4 linked regions of the Arabidopsis thaliana genome follow. The protein of the gene in region 2 interacts with the protein of the main gene of each other region in a biochemical or structural test. Each region holds a gene or a part of one and is shown on either strand. Other genes may lie near its edges.

Region 1 (3,707 bases), on a different chromosome or scaffold from region 2:
GACCAGAACAAGAGTTTTGAACTTTACAGTGGGTGTACAGCTTCATAGTGTTCTTCTTCCCAGGAGGATCAACAAATTTGAAAAGCGGATTGCTTCCGTGGCACGCAATGCTTGGCCTGTTTGTTTACATACTTGCTGTCGGGAATGCAGCTTTAGGGTTTCTGGAAAAGCTGACTTTCTTGGAGAATGGAGGGCTTGACAAGTATGGATCCGAAGCATTTCTTATCAACTTCACGGCCATTATCACTATTCTCTTTGGTGCCTTTGTGGTACTCACTGCTTCTGCTGAGTCTCCTTCTCCTTCTCCTTCCGTCTCCAATGATGATAGTGTTGACTTCAGTTATTCTGCTATATAAAACACTTTCTACATTCCACGTTACATCTGTATCGCCCCTTGTACTCTCAAAACTCCATTTATGTATGATGCATTTGTAGCGAAAAGCTTTGTGTGTTACGGCTTTGCTACTTCTGGTGTGTAAAATCTTCAATGATATTGATGAATCTTTTAAATCATTTTCTTTTCTTTTCTTTTCTTTCATATTGCCATTCCTTTAACCATATATGCTATTTGCCTTATTGGTGTCAAAGCATTTAAGACAAAACAAAAAACAAAACATTTTTTTTCCGGTTTTGCCTTAGAAATTTGATTTACATTACAATAAACGCAATTTACGTCGTTGTTGATGGAGAAAAGAATTCAGCAGAAGAATTACAATCTGAAGCCTCTCTATAAATATGATGCTCCTGCTTCTTACATTTGGAACCAAACACAATGTCGTTAAGAGTCCAGTTGCTGTTGTTGATCATCATTTCGTTGTAATGGAACTGATCAACATCACCCATTTCTTCATAAGCTGAGAGAGTCTCTTCGACATTTGGAGCTTGACTGTGCTTAGAGTCGGTAAACTCAGAGGAATAATCGGTGTGGGGATATGAAGAAGAAAGCCATTCAGAGAAGAAAAGCCTTGGAATCTCAGGAGCAGAAGAACATTGATGGCTGTTATTTCCGTTGCTTTCTTGTGAGGGAGATGAAGATTTGTTCTCTAGAAGTCTCTGGAAGGAGAACACGTGATTCGAGATCAAGGTTTCCGGATTTCTTTTTCCACAAGCAACAAGTGATGATGATGAAGACGAAGGAGGGGAAATAGATTTTGCATCTTGTAAGCTCTGAGACTTGAGCCATTTCTTTTTCAAATGAGAGTGCCAATAGTTCTTTATCTCATTGTCTGTTCTTCCCGGTAAGAATTTAGCTATTTGCGACCACCTAATTACACCTAAATCATTAGTCTCTCTATAACTAGCATCTGCTAAAACAATAGGGTTAGGTCTTAGAGATACACTTACTTGTTACCCAAGGAAGAATGAAACGTCAAGATAGTCTCTTCTTCTTCTGCACTAATCATATCCCTCTTTAACCCTGGTCTTAGGTAATTAATCCATCTTAATCTGCAGCTCTTCCCATTCCTTTGTAACCCTATCAAATTAAATCCCAACAACAATTATCAAAGTTGACTCAGTTTGAGAAACTAAAAACTAATAAAGAAGAAGATGAAAGAGAGACCAGCTTTGATGGGAACAGTGGTCCAGCAAGAATGGCCATAAGAGAGGATGAAGCTCCTTAGCTTCTCGTCTTCTTCAGGTGACCATAACCCTTTCCTATGTCTCTCTCCATATTTCGTCTTCGCCATTTCTCTTTAGTCAGCTGTCTGTCCTGATACAAGAAAACATGTCTCAATACTATATATGGTGATTGAGACAACATATATATCACCAAACGTCCACAGATAGAGCCTACATACTTGGTGTTAAGAAATGACCAAATGGGCCTGCTTAGAGTAAATGACAAATGACATATATATTTCTATTTTTATGAAAATTTGGGATATAATTTATGTGTTAATTTCTTATGAGTATACTGTATGCATTTGTATAAGCAGTGAGGAGAAAAGTCATAATGGAATATGTAAGGATTAATTAGGTGTCAAAAGTCTGCTTGGATAAATTTAAATTATTGATATAATGTTCCAACTTAAAATAAATTAGCAATTTTCAGTATATATAAGATTTGAGATTCCTACCTATAAAAAAAAAAAAAAAGAAGAATCTTTGCTTGTTTTTGTTCTTTCACTTTGTTTTCTTATTGTTTGTTTTCCTTATATTTACTTCATTTATAATGGACGATGCCTTAAGAATTTACACACTAATCAGATAACATCTTCATATCCAAAAATCTCTAAAATGTCGGCAAGAATTTTATATTAACGACTTCTTTAATTTATGTTTAAATCGCGTCAATGAGTTTTTTGGTTAGAAACGATCATCCGGGTGGAATAATCTGTCTGATTCAATCCAATGATTGTGAATAATGAAGTAATGATTATAGAGAATCATCCAATCTGTTAATCTTTTCGTAAAGCATCATTAGCAAGCAGACAAATTGCATTTGCTAATACAAGTACTTGAAATAATTATTATATGATTTGAGAGCTCTTTTTCTCTTAATTATAAAATTTTGTAGTGAAGTCAACATTGAGCTCCTATTTGCTGCTAGTAATTATTTCATATTTTTTCCTCTCACGATGTTTTTCTTACATTCACACTGACAAGTGGACCAATAATAAGAGTTATTTGAGGAATATTGTGAATTTCAACAATTTGAATTCCTTCTGTCCCGATCGAAATGGCCTGTCCCAATTTTAAAAATACTCTGATTTTGTTTTTTACTTGTTGGCTCTTTTGGCCTGTGGAAAATGACGAGTAAAGAAAATTGAGAGGGAAACAATAAAAAAGTGTCTACCTTGTCTTGGTCGTCTTGATAACATAATATAATTTGCCGTCAAACTAATCCCCAATGAAACACGACTAATAAATTTTATACATCTAATGTTATGATGACTTAATCCTTAGCCCTCGGAGAATAAATTTTATACATCTAATGTTATGATAACTAGGATACTTTAGATTGTTCGTCTACAACAAAACTTCTCCTCCTTCGACCATTAGGCCTTGTGGTATGTTGATAAAACTTTATGAAATATGTTGACAAAGAAGGTTAAACATGGCTTAGTTTTATGCACCAAAATAAAAACATCATTCAACATTGAATGAAACACATGTTTTACGGTTAGAGAAGACAGGCGTTAGTCAAACAATGACAAATGCTTTTAAAAATGAGATACAATAATCTTTGTTTTTTGTGCTGACACTTTGAACCGGTTCTACATAAAAGCCAACAAGTCTATAATGCAAAAAACCCAACTCGCATCATTGGAAAACCCCATCTCTAATCCGGTAGCTACAGCTCTCTACCGTACCTAAGTAACTTACCCATCTGATAGGTTCCTTGTTCTTGAACACACCGAGTCGAAATCACGAACTAATCATGTTGAAATGGAATCTGGATAGCTGCTGCGGAATGGTTGATATAACCGGTCCATATCTCTGTTTCAAGAAAATAATATACGGTTAGATGTTTGAGGTAAAAACCATTTTCCAAAGGTTGGTATTCTGGATATAAGCAAAACCTGAACATTGTCATAGAGTTCGAACAAAGGGACGGCCAAGAGCTTCAAATTTTTGGGCACAGCAAAGTACTCTTTCTCAGACAAGTGAACAATGTAGAGTCTCTTGCATTCCTGCCATTCCACAAAAAAGAGGAGATATAAGGAGAAGAGTAAAGGGAAATTCTGAGAAGCTTTACATTGTGT
Region 2 (4,555 bases):
TGATGAGGAACATTCATTGACTATTAATCGACGAGAAGACTTGACTTGGTCTTCTAGAATCTTTATCTCTTTGGCTCTTGATTTTTTTTTCACATCAATGGTTTCAATAATTAGTGCAGTCCTACATTTTTCCATTTACAAAAGTAAAAAAAGATTCTTATTCACACGCTGTTCATCAAAATATTTTTCCAAAGCATAAATGTTACTAATTATTGACATTTTTTCTATCATTTAAGTTAAATTTAAGTGTGTGATAGACATCAAAATATTTTTATCAAACAAAGCAATTAATACTTCTATTAATGTCACAATATACTAAGTCTGAATTCAGAATTAGGTACATGAAAGTCAAAAACACATTTATAAAAATTCTACGAATCTATGGAACATTCTATGTATCATTGAAAATTATTTCCCAAATAATTTTATTTTGATATTCTATGCATATGTTTTATTTCATGAATTTTTTTAAACAGTGTATATCTTTGTGTTAATACATTTATCTTCAAAATCATATTTAATCCAATGGTTTGCTCTTTGAACATTCGAAAATCTTCAATAAGAAAAATCACCAACAATAAGATCAGAGACAGAGTATGAAGTTTTAAGGACACATACACTTATGTACAAACGTTACAGACACTTAAGCTTGTAACCAAAAACAAAACAAAGCTCCATGACACAAACATATCACATAATTTAAAGTTATTGTTCTTCTTCTTCGACACTATTATTAACAACATTTCAAGAAGCAAACATGAAAATAAATAAGTTTAAGTTGTTGAAAGATCTCTCTGAACAGTACCTGCAAAAGACTTGATCTCAAAACTCAGAGACCTCATTGTTGTTTATGGTAGCAGCTTCTGGATGATAATGAATCATTTCCTTCCACATTAATTCTCTTATCATCTCTGCTCCCAAATCCTCGTCTTCATCTACATCGAGATCAATAGGAACTTGAGCAGGAGGATTTGCACTCGGGTCATATAAAGGCGCCATGTAAGGATGTTGAAGCGCTTCCGTGACACTAATCCTTTTCGAAGGGTCAAGAACGAGCATTTTCTGAAGCAGATCAATGGCTAAAACATTTGCACCCGGGTAAAGACGAGAGAATGATATCCCTGGTGAGTAAGGGAGTGATTCTATGTATCTTTTGGCTTTTGGGTTATCTATAAACTCGAGATCTTCCTCTCTCTGGCTACCCAAAATGTTAATGATGAGTTTAATCTGGTTTAGACATTCTGTTCCCGGGAATACTGGTTTTCTTCCAAGAAGCTCGGCGAATATGCAACCGACTGACCAGACATCAATGGAGGTTCCATAGTTGTCACAACAGAGGAGTAGCTCTGGTGCTCGGTACCATCTAGTCACAACATATTCAGTCATGAACTGACCTTTGGTGTTGCTCGTCCTCGCTAGCCCAAAGTCACATATCTTTAAGTCGCAGTTTGCATTCACAAGGAGGTTACCGGGTTTCAGATCCCGATGGAGAATGTTTGCTGAATGAATATACTTGAGCCCTCGAAGCAACTATGCAAAAGAAATAAAAAGCAAGTAAATGCAAACACCAAATGCAAACAACACACACTAATGGTAAAAGCAAATGCAAACAAATCACATACCTGGAACAAGAAGTATTGGCAATGGTCATTACTTAGAACTTGAGAAGACTTAATAATCTGATGAAGATCAGTATCCATAAGCTCATAAACAAGATAAACATCCTTAAAGCTTCTCTTATGATTAGCCATCATTACATCTTTAAGAGCAACCACATTCTCATGTCGAAGATGACGTAGAAGCTTGAGCTCCCTAAGAGTCCTCAACGCATCAATCCTATTCTCAAACACATTGTGGATCTTCTTGATCGCCACTCTCTCATTACTCTCTCTGTTAACCGAAGAGCAAACCACACCGTACGCGCCTCGGCCTATCGGTTTGATAGGCACGTATTTGGTATCGATCTCGAAAAGTGTTTGCCACATTGAGAAGTAATGCTTCCCTTGATTCCTAATTCCATTAGGTGGATCAACAGGAGTCGCCATTCTTCTACCTCCTTATAAAAACACACAACAAAAGGAATAAAAATCAAAACTTTATCGAAATTGGAACAATCCACAAATTTGAAAATATACACAACACAGAATTTTGAATTGCTTCCAACAAGTGACAATGAAAGATCAAATTTTTAGTTTTGATCTTAGGGTTCTCTAAGCTTAAGTTTACAGATTCAAAGGTTAATATTTTAGATTTCACTAATGATCAAAAGCTTTGTTTAAGAGAAAAGAACAAAAGTTGAATCTTGATCCGATGTTGAGATTGAGCTAGAACGATCTGAATTTTGCAGAGAGAGCTTACCCGTTGAGTGTTGGGGACGAATCAGATTCGTCAGTGACGATCGCCGGCGAGATTTGGGTGGAGAGAAAGAGGAAGTTGGAGAGATTTGGCTGGTGAGAGTGAGAGATTTGGTCAACGCTATGACCGTTGACTCTCTAGTTTCTCGTTCATTACCATTTTAGAGCTGTTTCTTTCTCTGTCTCCTTCACTAATCTGTCTTTAACTTTGGGCTTAATTAAGCCCAACCTGATTTGTAATAATTAACGGTAATTAGATATTTAAGATAGTGAGGAATTAACAAAAAGTGGACGTGCCGGAGTGGTTATCGGGCATGACTAGAAATCATGTGGGCTTTGCCCGCGCAGGTTCGAATCCTGCCGTTCACGTTTTTTCACTTCTTATTTTAACATCGAAACGTGATTATATAACTTCATTAGTAAATGTAAATCTAAGCTTGAAATTTATATTAGCATTTGTTCAATCACAATCTATCAATGCAAAAAAATTTCTAGTCAAAAACTCATGATACAAAGGCTTTACTATATGTACAAGACTAGTAATTGTTCGCTTGTAAAAATCGTTCTGAGTTTTGTCCTTCAATGGCGGTAAATTTTCAAAACTTGTTGTATTCGTTCCCGGCAAAGAGGACAGGTCCTTAGTTGCAAGGAGCATGGTGTGCAGCAGCACATATGACCACACCTACAAGTCCAAACCAAACAAAAAGAGGAATCAAAAGATGCCATGTTTGATCAGTGAGAGGGTTTTCAAGAGCTTTTAGAAGAAAAGCGGTCTTATACTTACTCAACAAAAGCGGTGTTATACTTCTGGTCAAGGCAAACCACACAGAGATCAGGTGTATCACCATCTCTGCTTGTACCACCTGGTAAGACGTTTTTGTAAGCAGAGCAATTCCAAGTGTATGCAGAAAAAGGATTCACATGTTACTACTACAAAGTACAAACTCTAATGGATAGATACTATTACTACCTCCAGTTACTGGTTTGGCTCTCCTAGCAGCTGCATCAACAACTCTGCAACAAGTTACCCAACACTTAACTCGCAACTCGCAACTCGCAATGAATACTTCATACGTGGCTGTGGTTAGGGTGCGTCATACCTTTTCAGTGCGAATTGTCGCCGCCTTCTTTCTAGAGTATCTTCAATTCTCTTTAGAATATATTCAATCACAGGCTTTGAAATAAGAATCACACCAAGAACAGTTAAACCCATGGAGGCATACTTGAACCTCCTGCCAAAAGAAAGAGATCTTTTAGAATTTTTTTCAATCATAGTTTTCGAAGAAAAGAATAGGCAAAAACAGAGAAAAGAAACAACCTTGACAAATCTCCCAATTTAGAGATGAGCTGATCTAGCGGTATATAAGTGACGTAGAAAGGTCCTTGCTCAGGTTTTTGAATCCTGACATTCCCCATGCCATCCCTAACAGCCTGTTAACATGGTAAGCAACATAACAAAGAGAGATATAAAACGTATTTTGGACCGCTAACAGATAAAAGACATACCTCACCAACAACTGTAAGCGGTGTACCAATTGGGACAACACGCTCAACGTGTCTTACTCCAAGTATCTATAGACAACAATGGTGCCACAATGTATAAGCATTGTCAAAACAAAAGCAAATCAATGAAAAGTGGTAGGAAAGGAAAAGAAAAGACCTTAAAGCCTTTAAGATAACCCAACGCTCCTTGAACAAGCGATACCGGCTCTGCCTTTTCAAATACATCACTACCAACCGTCAACGCCAAGCCTAATTCACCTTGAGATACATCTACATTCACACGACCTGTCCCGTCGTCCTATAGGCAACCAATATCATATTTTGTAAATGACTTTAGAAAGTAATACACTCCAATCAAAGTCCAACAGACATACCAGATACCAGGGGACTTCCTTAGTCATCGGCTGCATCAATGTACTATTTCGAACCCATGAAAATCTCCAATTACGTCTCAAAACCTGTTGTTCTGCCTGAAAAAAATCGTTTCTTTTTAACATATCCAAAATCACAGAAACGAAAAACTAGATTATCTAATCCAATTCATACATACCGTTCTCTTGAGAAATACACCGAGAACATAACTATGCTCACACTTAATAGGAGTCTCAGAGCCAACATCTCCTGATACTGCGATGATCAAAGGTACCACCTTGCTCTCTACTTCTACTAATTGTTCTGAATAAAAACGAATGATATCA
Region 3 (7,298 bases), about 11 Mb from region 2:
TCATCTATAAATAATTGATGGTAATATCATGGTATGAAACTGTAATAAAGATCACTGGTGTAGTAATTAATAAATTGAATAAATACTATGTTAGATATCTATTAGTTTTCCATTGTTTCGAAAAGAGATATCTTACGTTTTGATTCAAATGAGTTTTTAATTTATGTCCAACAATGTTAAGGAGAATAACAAACAAAACATGATTTTCCAAAGTTTTGATTTATGGATATTAGAGGATGTGAAGACACATGATTGGCCCAACCTAACATTTGAGCTTCCTTTCTCTTTGGGGTCGGGTACAAATATGACTCCCCCGGGCACGAACAAGGCTGGGGTTGTGTTCAATATTCATAACGAGTAGAGCTGTTTTGACAGTAGCAGCAGATAATGCATTGTATACGGCATGTAAGCAATTGTGTTCAATATTCATAACTATATAATCACTTTGGTGGTGGAGAAATCAGAGAGAATTGCAAAAATTCAAAGGTGGTTCCTTTTTTTTTTTTTTTTGCTCTCTTCTGGCCTTCAAGGAGTCTCCTTTTCAACACAAAGTCTCGGTTTTATCACTTAACCAAACCGGAAAACCGGTTTAACTAATCCATCCTCTTAATAATTTAACTAAAGAGGTATATAAATAAAGAAAGAAGAACAGAGTTCTTCTTCATTGTTGAAGAATCCTAACGAACTCAAAAAGATTCTCTCTCATTCTGTTACAACTTCGCCGCCGATTTGAATCTCCGATGGCCACCTCAAGCCATCTCTTTCTCCTCTTCCTCATCACCACCGTCACATTCCTCACTTCCGCCGCTTCTCCAGCGTATCTCACGTCCCAAGATCACCAACACGCCGACAGAATCATCGAAGCAATGATCGGAGCCGGAGATTTCCGTGACTGGGCCGCAGATTTTCTCTCCGCCGTCGATGACCAATTCGGTATCCCTCTCTCCGCCACTATCTTCATCCCAAGCGATTTCGACTCCGCTGATATCTCCTCCTCCTCTTCCTCCACCACTGGCAACAACAACGCTAATCCCCGTCGTCTCTCCGTCGCTTACCACATCGTACCTCAACGACTCTCCTTCACAGATCTTCGTCTCTTCAAACCACTCTCTCGTCTTCCGACTCTTCTCCCCGGAAACACAATCGTCGTCACTAACAACTCTGTTCCCGGTTACGCACTCGACGGCGTTCTTGTCTCTGAACCGGATCTTTTCCTCTCTTCTTCAATTGCTATTCACGGCGTTGCTTCGTCTCTTGATTTCTCACGTTACGGCGATTTTGGTACCGGTGATACTACTTTAGCTGATAGTCTCCGTCCTTGGCCTTTTCAGCCTTCTAGTCGCCGTCGTCATCCCGATGGATCCAACAGTGACACCAATCAAACCTCTGCTTCTGCATCCACAGTACATTTCTCAACTGGCTCGTTCTTGCTTCCATTGGCGACTCTGGCTCTGTTCTGACTCAACATTCCGGCGACTTTTTCCGGCGAAGTAACCGTCAAGATTCCACTAACGGCGTGAAATATCTCTTTTTTGTCTTTACAAGATTTTTTAGACTCAAAGTCTAATTTTTTTCAAGATTTTGTGAAACTCTGTTACATAATGTAAAGTTTTTCACATTAAGCAATAGCAAATTTTCTTGATTTTTGAAAGAAGAATTTCTATTATTATGACTTTTCTTTTCTAGTTTACACTTCACTAACGCTAAGGTTAGGTTATTTGTTCTTGCTATGATAAATAAGAACAAAAGATTATGAATAATAAATGCCCCCAAAACAAAAAAAAAAAATCAGAAAGAAATTTCTTCTCTCTATCTATCTAAAAGATATGTCATTGTTGTTTCTGTTGTTGTTGTTGGTCTCGGAGTTGGTACAGTCTTTTTTGTTTACATCAAATCTACTCCGAAAAGTTTTCCTTTGGTTAAACTTGCGGAACAGTTTGATGATATGAAGTGATCTTTTGAGTCTGATGAAGTTTGGTTCTTGTGGTTCCAGTACTCAACTAGTCGATGGTTTGGGTCAAGAGCTTCAATGGCCTGTAGAGAAGCGTTAAGTTGTGTAAGAGTTAACATCATGAATAGCTTTTTAATGAAGAAGAACAAGGCTTGGATTTAGATTTCTTACCTGAACTATAGAGGGTGAGAGGAAACCAAACATTTGAAGCCCGTTGATACTCTCAAACTGTGGTAAAATAGGAAGACCAAGACTTGTTGATGTATCTTTAACTCTCCGCATCACCATTTCCCAGCATTGTTGTGCAGAGACATTGAAGAAGCTCTCGTCTGGAGATTCTTCCAGAGTAACCCTGAACAATGGACCCATGAGTCCTGCATCCAAAACCTCAGAGATGTAATTGCTCATTCTTGTTGGATCAAGAACATTGTAGAACTTGACACGACTCCTGAATCCTGTTAAAGTTGTAAAACAAACATCAACAACCATTTCAGCAAATTTGATCAAGTAACATTAACAAAAGAGCATTTCAAAGATAGTACCTTTTGGGAATATAGCATACTTATTGCACCAAAGCTTTCCAAAAATCAAGAACCCGAGGTTTATAGGCTCGACCGATACACCAAGGTTCTCTGAGGCGGTTAACTCGCCGCCACTAGTGCTGGCTTCTTCTTTAACGTCTTCTTGATAATCCATCTCTAAGTCAATGTTCAGATCAAAAGAACCTTCCTTTAACTTCTTCTCCTCACTGATAACTGAACTAGTCTTTGTCTGATCTTCATCACTATGTTCAATGCCTAAAACCTTGGAAGCCCATATCTTTAAATCATCTGATTCCCCTTCCAATGCTCTGACCAACGAGCTTAACTCATCCATTGTGTACCGGAGAAGAATAAATCCATCTTTCACATCACATGAACAAAGATCATCTGCATGTTTAAGGCACGCGTATTCTTCGGGAGAGCACTTGCAGCCAGAAGCCGAGAGATGCAAATCATAAAAGCATGAGAAACATTCCCTTTCACAGTTTGAATCAAAGTCCTTCTCCATCTTCTTCAAGCTTGAAGAATCCCTACCAAGAGCTGTAATTCTCCCCTCTTCCATTTGTAACCGAGCCTGTCAATATTTTCAAAACAAATGAACCAAAGTAAGCATTAGAAAGTGAAAACTATATTCAGTATCATGACTCAAGTAGTATCTGTTTTTCGTTACTTGTATCGCGTTGGTAAGTGTCCCGTTCTTCCCACAGAAACTCTTCCATCTCAAATTTGTTGTATTTTCCTTTCCCTCAGAAGCTGAGAGTTCCCAAAGAGCCTTCACCGCTTCATAAGCTGCTCCAAGAAGAAGCTTGTCGTGAGACAGAGAAGTCTTCCTTGTCTCTTTACTATATAGTTCCACAGCGTTCTGTCCATGAGCCAACCAATCAACCGGAGCCACATTAACCGCTTCTGCGCAGTTGAAACCGCAGTTGAATCCAGCATGATACGCCCTCGGGAATGTCAATACATACTCCCCTGAATTCTGCACGACCCGGTAAGCCTGGACTCCCTCATCTTTCAGTATTGAAGGAGAAAACTGAGTAACCAGGCCATGTAGTAGATCAGGCTGTTCTTCGAACAAGTCAGGTAAATGTTTCCTCATCGCCTTCTCGAGAGCGGTTGCATTGCTTCCTGGAACACCATACCATACTTTTGGCTCCCCAAAGTGATGATAGTTAAGTGAATATAAATGATGGTCCTCCACATGCTGTTCAAGACAAAGAAATATCACATCAAACATCCAAACATTAGAGAAAAAATGTTTATAATAAAATCAAAGAGTGAAAGTGTACTTACCCAACAAAATGATGAAAAACACATTCCCACATATAGCCATGGAACTAGAACTCCGGATATGTCACAATCTTCAAAAGAGAGTACAGAGCCAGGAAGCCGTGGTAAGTTATTCAAGTTCCAGCCAGATAATGTGTACTGCTCCATATCGCTACCGGTAAACTTCTCGGCTCTTTTATAAAACCCGCTTCCAAGCACCCCATTCTCCAAGTCAGCTCCATAGTAAACCTCCACTTCATCTGTTGGTTGCTCAACTATCCGCCAGTATTCCCCTTCTATATCATCCACAGACGGTGTCCATTTTACTATATCTCCACCAGAGTCTTTCTTTTCAAAGTACGAGTCTTTAAAATGCAGAGCATATTTCTCAAACTCATCAAGAGTGAAGTCTGAACCAGAATTGAAACCAAACTTCTCCTCAGCCTCGGGTGATGAAGTCGATTCAGCGGGAGAAGAACCAGATCGTCTCTTAGACGAACCCATTCTCGAGTTTCTTCTCCGTTTCCGCTTTCTACTCTTCGGTTTCTTCTTCATCGGCTCACGGTTCTGAAGCAGGTCTACGGTTTGAATCCGAGTAGGAAACTTTGTCTGCTCCCATATACTCTTCTCCTTAAGCCGGCAAGGAGGCTTCCATGTCGATGGTGGGATGATTCGACAGATACCATACGGCTCTGCTAGTGGACGTATCTTCTCGATATACGCAAGTGGATCTACAAACTCCTGATAACCAATAAAGAGGGAAATTAACGAACAAGAACTCAAAAACATCAACAAAAGATCATGGAAACAACAAAGCAATTAGTACCTCTAGTGATGGAGTGAATACGGGAGCGTCATTGATAATTGGCCTCTGTGCTTCATCAGGTAACCATCTAGCAACAACCTTTAACATATACAAAAAAAAAAACATTATGTAAGAACAAAACTTGTTTCAAGATTTATATAAGTTTTTGGATTCTGCATCAGATTACATCATATTACCTTCCGATGACGTGGACTACTAGGTTGTTCCATGATAGTGTCTTTGTCCTTATCCTTGTCTGGAGGATGATTCTTCAAAGACATATCCTGTATATTAAAAACACACATAAATTTATTTTTAGAGAAGAACAACAAATATATGAATATGTGTTTGATTAAACAGACCTAGAAACTATAATCAGCGTTACAAAGATCAAGCATAAACAACAAAACTAGTCTATAATTCAAAGACGAAGAGGATCTATGATCAGTGATTAGGTAATTTGCCAAATCAAGTAAACAAACGAGATCCGGAAAACAAAAGACTCTATACAAATCTATGATGAATAAAAACCAAACATCAATACTGTTTTTGATTCAAGGTTACATAATCTTCAGTAATTAACCATAAACAAACAAGAAAAACAGTAATTAATCGATTGAGACACGAATTAAACATCGAAAAACTCACCTCTTTGATCTCAGATTCTAATGGAGGATTTTCCATATGAATTGAAAAATCAATACTACTCAAAGCAGATTTTGTAAGCTAAAAGTTTTCTTCGATTGAGAGCCAATGAAACTGAGAAAAAAAAAAAAGATAAGAAAACGATGTTATCAACAAAAACAAATATCGATATATCAAAATAAAGAGAAGTTAAAAAAAAAAAAAGTTCCTAACCCTAATTGAATTCACAAACAGAGGAACAATAACAAGAACATCAAAAATCACAGATATTTAAATTCATGAAAATCAATCTTTTTTTACCTATCAAAGGAGAAAAAGCTTGAAAGTTTTTTGGTTCTTTTGTTTTGGCCCAATTAATGCTATAAGAATTGAATTCGCAGTTAAAGTTAGAAATACCCAAATCTGGGAAAATTTAAGAAAGAGATTTAATTGACCTAGTAGTAACGACGAATAAGAAGGAACACATTATAAAACAAAACAAACCGAACTTAACCACGATAAGGAACTTAAAAATATTATTTACTACAAAATTACAAAAGAGGTTTAAAAAAAAAAAGGAAAAGTCGAGAAGGAGATTACCACAAACGAACGGCTGAGATTTCGAGAAGAAGAAGAAGTGTATTTGAGATTATCTCTGATGATGTTATACGAATCTTCTTTTTTTTTCTATCAAATATTATATAATTTTAGATAAAAAAAATAAAAACCATGAAAATTGAAGTATGTGAATATTTAAAAATAAGAGATTGAGACAGAGAAAAGACAAGAGAGTGATTTGAAGTAAAGAATCTGGAGAAACGAGGAAGTTAGAGAACACCCGCCAAAGAAAACGCACTCTCAAGAGTTTTTAACGGATCAGCGTTTGATCACCACACCGTACCGTACGATGATCTAATATTTATGCGGAAAATACTGAATTACCCTCAGCTTTCTGTTTATTTTACGGTTCTATGCCATTTGTTGTTCTTCCGTGATCGTTCGTCGAACGTCGTCTTTGGTTTTAGGTTTCTCTCCGCGTCGGAAAAGTAAAGAGTTTGACCGTTTCGTTTTTTTATCCAAAACGCGTCGTTTTAAAGGAAATGGAGATGAAAGTTTCATTATTTCGTCCCCGTAATTTAGTATTTATTATTTTTTGTAGCTATACTTTTGAGATAGATCAGAAAGTACAGAGAAGTCAAATTGTAGAATAAAAATAAGGTTCTTGAATCTTATTAGAAATAAAATAAATCACGACAAAAACATCTCCACATGAGAGTTTGATCAACTGAGGAAAACTAAAAGAAACAAAATGTGTAAAACAAAAGAAAGATGCAAATTTGTGGTACTTTTAATCAAGTCTTGTGTTGTACTTTCAATCGATTAGAGACGAATCTTCTTGTTTCCTGCTTCTTCTGTCTTGTCTTGTTCTACTTCTACTACTCTCTTTGTTGCAACCATTCTCACCTAACAAAACACAACCAAAAAGCACAATGTTTCAAAAAACGTTTCAAGAATCAATTACAAGCACCTCAAAAGGCAAAAGAATTGTATATAATCTTACAGTTTCAGCTACAGAATCATCAGGGTATTCAACTACAATGATCTCAGGCTTTTGCTGCAAAAAGGGGTAAAAGCACTTTATTATTATAAAGAAAGTAGCTAGTACATTTTAAGAGAAAGAGAGAGATAAGATTTAACATTTACTCACATTGAAAGAAGAACTCGCAGTTGATTCAGTTTCAGCAGTTGCTGCACGGTTCCTCCGCTGGTAAACTCGAGGAGGAACAATCCGGTTAACTTGCGGAGGAACCTCGTTAGCTGGACGAGGAACAACTCGGTTAACTTGCGGAGGAACCTCGTTAACTTGACGAGGAACAACTTGGTAAAATGTCGAAGGATCTTGGTTAACTTGAGGAACTCCGTTACGACAAGGAACAAGGTGGTAAGTTTGAGGAAGATCCTTGTTAACTTGAGGAATAGGAACAACTTGGTAACTTCGCGGACCATCTTGGTTATCTTGAGGAGGAGCTACCCCGTTACCTTGAGGAGGAACAATCCGGTAAACTTGCGGAGGACGAGCTTGGTTCTCTGGACGAACCCCATAAGT
Region 4 (5,564 bases), 1.5 Mb from region 2:
AAAAATTTCTACTATAGATATATTTCATAGATTTTTTTGTTATATATTTTCAATAATTAAATTACATTATGAACTAGTTTTTGAAAATGATGTTGATTGAGTTATAAACATAGCAAAATTATGGAAAATTGGTCATTGTCTTCAACAATTCTTAAGCATGATGGCTATTTTCTGTAGTATAATACTAATAAATAAGTGATATTTCTAATTAACTTACTTCAAAACGCTGGCGAAAATGACTTGACTAGTCTTATTAAAAAAAAAAAATTCATCAATGCGAAAACTAGCCATGAATGATACAAAGTTTGAAAAGACTAATTCCACAAACCAAAGAGTAGAGAATGAGAATTACTGGAATATAATGGGCCGACCTCATACAAGGCCCATATCAACATTCACATTTCACAATTCACAGTGGTGATTTTTTTTTTCAAACATAATATTTGTTGTCTTCAATATAATAGAATATTTTTCTTACCAAAATTAATAAAACAAATATGTCACTAAACTTTCTATATTTGCAATAAATACTGTAAAGAAAAATAATACTTCAGTTTCATTATTGATAGCAAAACATTCAAAAGCCTCCAAGTTACATGTAAAAGACTCCAAAGTAACTAATACAAAATAATTTTTTTTAATTCTTACATTTTTTTATAAAAATAACCTACCCGCTCCCAAATAATGAATGAAAGAATAAAATCAATATTTTCCCTATTTTCTTTGATAAAAAAAAAAACATTTTCCCCTTTTTCTAAAAGTCTTTAAAACCCTAAATGTATAATTTTTTTTTTTTTTTTTCTTCAAACTTTAATTCCCTCCGGTAGTCCAAGCCGAGATCGTATAAAGTGGCTGCTCCGACCACCGTAAAGTAACTCCACCGCCGCGTCCGCCTTCACCGCCGTTGTCTTCATCGCTCCTCTCCACATTGAAAAACCCTTCATTATCAGATCCGTACATCCTAAGCAACATCTTACTCTGCAAAACCTCTCTCTCCGAGACTCCAAGACTCCGAAACCCTAACTGCTCCAACATCCTCCTCCAATGACGAAAACCCACATGCCTCTCTTGTCTATGACTTCCTTCACACGCAACAATGTTCCTGATCTCTCTCCCAAACAACATCTCCTCAACTTTGACTCTCATTAAGCTATCTGTAGCAAGATTCGTGTGAATTGCATCAAACATAGCTGAATAGTACTTTAGCGAGTTACAAACTCGTGTCTCAAGTTGCTCTGAGTTGTGTTCTGCTTCTTGCTCCGCAAGAACGAGAGCTATTGGGTTTGTGCTTCTGATTAAACCCAAAAAATCCCTAATTGCTGCTCCGGTTCCATCGTAGAGTGTCTTGTGCATCTGCATGACACAGTTTACAGCTACTGATTCACCTTCTTTGACGTGAAGCATCCATAGTCTAACGTCTTCGAGTCTATCAACTACAGGATGAAACTCGAATTGAAGATTCATCGCCTCTGCAAATCCGTGGAGGCGATCTCCGGTTTCGTTTAGCTCAAGTTTCGATTCTCCGATCCCAGTGATTCGTACATGGTGTGGTGGATTTATTCTCGAAGCTAAGCTTTGGAAGAAGCTAGGCCACTGTAAACCTTGCTTGATGTCGAAGTCAATAATGTGAACTCTCTCTTTCCCTTCAAATGCTCTGAGTAACATCTCGTTGGCTGTGAAATGAATGAACTTTGGAATTGGGGTTACTTGATTCAAGAACCTCAATGCATTTCCTGATTCATCTTCGACAGTTCTATCGAATTCACGAGGGGGTGCGATGTGGAAGATGTGAGGCCACATACGCGCCACTCTTAGAGCCAAAGCTTCAATGTAGTAAGCTATGAGGCGAGTCATTGGTGTTCTTCCTCTAGGAGAAGCAAGATCACCGGTTCTTGCAATGAAATGGTTAATCGCTGCTATGTTTCTTGATCTGATCGCGTCTAAGCATCCCGTAAGCAAATTGACAAGCTCGAAATCCCTCTGCAAATCGTTCCTGTTGTTGTTGTTGTTGATGTTTCCGGTGGTCCTTTCCTCTGTTGCACCGCGGTGTGAGTACGGATTCCTTGAGCCATTTGTAGGTTCTGGTACTCTATGGCTTAAGCTACGACTCTCGGATGATGCGCTTGTAGATGATCCTCCAGATGCTTCCTTAACTGCTGCAGGAAGGCTACTCTCAACGTCCTTATCGCCTATACCAGCTAGCTCCGTAATCACCGAATCAACCCAGTTTGGTAAAGGCTGAGAAATGACTTCACTTGGCACAAAGCAAACCTTTTCCTCATCATCACCTGAACAAGTCAAAGAAAAAGGTAATGCTGGTGAAGAAGAATCCTGGCCAGTGAAATGCTCAAACCAGAAACCACCTTCGTTTTCGCATTTTGTCCTCTTCGCTCTGCTCAAACAAGACTCGTCCTCCTCAGCTAATCTCTTCAAACTCTTCCCTCTGTTGTTGTTGTCGTTGTTCCAAGAAAACCCTTCTCCATTTCCTCTTGTTGTTGCCAAAGGTGGAAGCTTTATGTTCTGTTTAAGCGAACAACCACTGGTCTTCGTCTTGCGCTCGATCGGTTTGTTGTTGTTGTTGTTGCTGTTGTCAAGAGAGATGCTTCTTCCAAGTGGTCTGCTAGAAGGAGTTTCCTTGCGAGAGAAGCTACTACTGCATGGTAAGTCCAATCTCTGTGTGTTCATGGGAAAATGCGCTGATACTGTTGCTGATGTTGCTGCTACTGCTTCACTCCTCAATCTTCGAGTAGGCGACAACAATGATGAACTCGAACAACCTGCCAACATCCTCTACAAAATCTACCTAACCCAATTCAAGAGATGGTCTACAAGTGTGTGTGTGTTTGCTCAAACAATTAAAAAAATGGAATCCGATGAATCTTTTTTTTTTGGTTTTAGTGAAATCAAAGTGAATCCTATATGAAAAAATTGAAGAATGAAATGAATTTGAATCCCCTGCCCCAAAAGAACCAACGAATCTATATAATCAAATAAAGAATGAAAGAATTATCGAACTAAACTAAATCAAATCAATCTACCATAAAACAATCATCGGATTCCTTAAACTTTATAAAAAACAACAAAATCTCATTTAGATGATAATGACGACCAACGAATTCACATCATCACGAACAGAGACTACTGAAGAACGACCTCGAAGTTGCTGGATAAACAGACTTGAGAGTTGCTGTAAACCCGGTTCACCATTCCGGTTTGCCATTCTGGTTTTGCCAAATCAAGAAAAATCTCTCAGAACATCCAGAAACCCAAAATCAACAAGAACCCAGATCAGACAATCACTAGGAGATTACTGAAACACAAGATCAAGATCCAAAAACTCTCAAAGATTGTTACTTTCTTCACTCTCTCTCTCACTCTCACTCTCACTTCTATCTGTTTCTCTCACTCACTTTTGGTTTCTCTCTCTCTCTCTCTCTCTCTAACTCTCTACAGGGGTTAAGAGATACTATACAGCTTCTACAAATACCATAGTGGAGGCAACTTTTTAGAGTTTGTTTTCTTGTTGGGTCTTCGAGAATTGAAGTTGGCGACTTTTCTTTTTACAGTAATTGTTTTTTAGAGTTGGGCAGAGTGAGTGGTACACGAGGGATCTGAATCTATCTGAGCCGTTGGATCTTTAAAATCAAACGGTAGAAAATTGGTGACCGTTTGTGAATTGTCGGAGAAATATGACCGTTGGGAGAGAGGAAGAAAGAAGAGAGTGTTGGGTGTGTACGGACATCAATGACTTCTGATTGGGAAAGCCAACAACGACTTTTTTTAATACACCCACCAAAAAATGACATTGTTTTTTTTTAGACTATGACACATTCGCAGTAAAAAAACAAATGATCATTGTACAAAGTCCAAATAACTATTTAGGGTACTAAATTTATCTGTCATTAATAAATATTGCCAGTTTTGTGAAATATATTTACTAATTCCTTCTCTATATTAGTAAGAATGATTGTTTATGATTTTCTTACGCATCCCCTTAAATCTTTTTATAATTGTTTTATTATACCAATAATTTACATGTACCATTTTTCTACGCAAAATACTTCCCCAATACTAATTCAATTTATTCAATTGTCGTATGTCAATGTTTTTTGAAGTTTTACATTTTATAACGTCTAAAAAAAACCCAATATTCATGGAACATACCAGAAATCGAAACTAAGCATCAATTTTTTTTTATTGAAACTTGTGTAAAATTGCATTCACAAGAAATTAGAGTTTCTGGCCTTCCTAGAGTTTCTTGAATTGCGTTAACAAAAAATTAGAGGTTCCGGCATTGCTTCCACACTAGGTTAAGGTTCAACAAAATTCGCAACCAAAGAATAGCTATGAAACAAATAAGCAAGATTTCACAAACATAAAGAGCTTACAAAATTTCAAAACTAATGGGCTTTACTAGCAAATATAATGGGCTTTTTAATAAACCTTTTTTTAATAAGCCTATTAATAAAGATGGGCAAAATGTGTTTCTTTTTGTATCAAAATGTTGTCTAATTTTACTGATAAATAAGAATAAGAAATAGGGTAAATATTTGGAAACTATTTAGAAATACATTTTAATCTAATGGTAATGATTAATTCAAGATGTATATAATTTCTAGTATCTTTTCCCTAATAATTGATATTTTTCATTCATTAACACTAGGACCTTTTAGGTTTAACATCTTAAAACTCTATCTTAAGATGTTTAGATAAGTATTTGGGTTGTAATGATTTTCTAGGAAACACTAAAATAGTATGAACATAATCTAGTTAATCACTAGACTAAAAATCAAATCTGAATCTATGTACAAAATCTAAACTATACACATAAAAGTAGATATTAACATATATATTAATGAATAATATATAATTATATATAGATACACTTAGCACAAATATACACATATATTTATTTTGGATTGTTATCATGTGCTCTGTAAGAAATCATGCTACAATATACAGATGATATAACAGGATAAGAGCTATATTAATAGAGAACTTTGCATAAAAGTCGTTATCCAAAAAAAGAAAATAAACTTTGCATGAAAGCTAAACCAAATGCAAATAAGAAAATAATTGTATCTTAAAAGGATTGTTCTTAAACGATATAAAGGTACATAATTCCCTCCCACGTTAACCATTCATTGTGCATTGTGGAATTCCATTTGTATAATTAGTTTTGAATTAGATCATTCATTTCCTTTGAGTTTGATGAATAAAAAGTAAGAAAAAAACACTAAGCTTGGGAGGGTGGCTTAATTAAGCGTGTACACATAAACTATACTTTGTTAAAAAAAAATTGGGAGGTTGATTATGACTTATGAGCGAATAAAGCACTTTTGCGATAGTTATTGAACTTGCTAATCAAGTTGTTAAACGTGTGTATATATATAGGATGTGCATCATCACAATTCTCTCTAGCTAGCTCTTATTCGTATTATATAAAAAACTCAATAACTCTTTTTTGTTTTTGGTTCTTAAGATGCAATCTATTTATACAGAGATAAACACCAAAGCCAAGAAAGCAAGGACGAATGTAGACTATTTCTATACAGCTTACATGA

Evidence for each region.
Region 1: of the proteins of MPK2 (region 2) and LAF1, one has a biochemical effect on the other in vitro, tested with the Arabidopsis thaliana proteins (one large-scale study listed by BioGRID).
Region 3: of the proteins of MPK2 (region 2) and JMJ18, one has a biochemical effect on the other in vitro, tested with the Arabidopsis thaliana proteins (one large-scale study listed by BioGRID).
Region 4: of the proteins of MPK2 (region 2) and AT1G63100, one has a biochemical effect on the other in vitro, tested with the Arabidopsis thaliana proteins (one large-scale study listed by BioGRID).

The regions. Positions count from the first base shown.
Region 1 is NC_003075.7:13,050,536-13,054,242, reverse strand, and holds LAF1 (myb domain protein 18), read right to left. Parts: upstream 1,741-3,707; 5' UTR 1,689-1,740; coding exon 1,562-1,688; intron 1,516-1,561; exon of another isoform or gene 1,475-1,515; coding exon 1,345-1,474; intron 1,265-1,344; coding exon 670-1,264; 3' UTR 501-669; downstream 1-500. Other genes in the region: ACYB-2 (Cytochrome b561/ferric reductase transmembrane protein family), read left to right, coding at 30-356; AT4G25550 (Cleavage/polyadenylation specificity factor, 25kDa subunit), read right to left, coding at 3,370-3,441, 3,525-3,635. UniProt on the Arabidopsis thaliana protein: Transcription factor that promotes photomorphogenesis in the light by participating in the transmission of phytochrome A (phyA) signals to downstream responses. Probably acts by activating expression of light-induced genes.
Region 2 is NC_003070.9:21,882,011-21,886,565, reverse strand, and holds MPK2 (mitogen-activated protein kinase homolog 2), read right to left. Parts: upstream 2,549-4,555; 5' UTR 2,359-2,548; intron 2,057-2,358; 5' UTR 2,046-2,056; coding exon 1,623-2,045; intron 1,531-1,622; coding exon 823-1,530; 3' UTR 515-822; downstream 1-514. Other genes in the region: ZCF61 (E3 Ubiquitin ligase family protein), read right to left, coding at 2,934-3,036, 3,139-3,217, 3,325-3,368, 3,455-3,586, 3,673-3,785, 3,861-3,926, 4,015-4,155, 4,232-4,327 and 1 more.
Region 3 is NC_003070.9:10,936,255-10,943,552, forward strand, and holds JMJ18 (Transcription factor jumonji (jmj) family protein / zinc finger (C5HC2 type) family protein), read right to left. Parts: upstream 5,715-7,298; 5' UTR 5,513-5,714; intron 5,327-5,512; 5' UTR 5,252-5,326; coding exon 5,216-5,251; intron 4,852-5,215; coding exon 4,765-4,851; intron 4,667-4,764; coding exon 4,589-4,666; intron 4,504-4,588; coding exon 3,787-4,503; intron 3,698-3,786; coding exon 3,164-3,697; intron 3,068-3,163; coding exon 2,494-3,067; intron 2,407-2,493; coding exon 2,123-2,406; intron 2,035-2,122; coding exon 1,885-2,034; 3' UTR 1,461-1,884; coding exon of another isoform or gene 741-1,460; 3' UTR 511-740; downstream 1-510. Other genes in the region: AT1G30800 (Fasciclin-like arabinogalactan family protein), read left to right, coding at 741-1,460; AT1G30814 (uncharacterized protein), read right to left, coding at 6,572-6,655, 6,753-6,806, 6,900-7,298. UniProt on the Arabidopsis thaliana protein: Histone demethylase that demethylates 'Lys-4' (H3K4me) of histone H3 with a specific activity for H3K4me3 and H3K4me2. No activity on H3K9me3/2, H3K27me3/2 and H3K36me3/2.
Region 4 is NC_003070.9:23,398,581-23,404,144, forward strand, and holds AT1G63100 (GRAS family transcription factor), read right to left. Parts: upstream 3,597-5,564; 5' UTR 2,788-3,596; coding exon 811-2,787; 3' UTR 532-810; downstream 1-531. Other genes in the region: AT1G63105 (uncharacterized protein), read left to right, coding at 5,561-5,564. UniProt on the Arabidopsis thaliana protein: Probable transcription factor involved in plant development.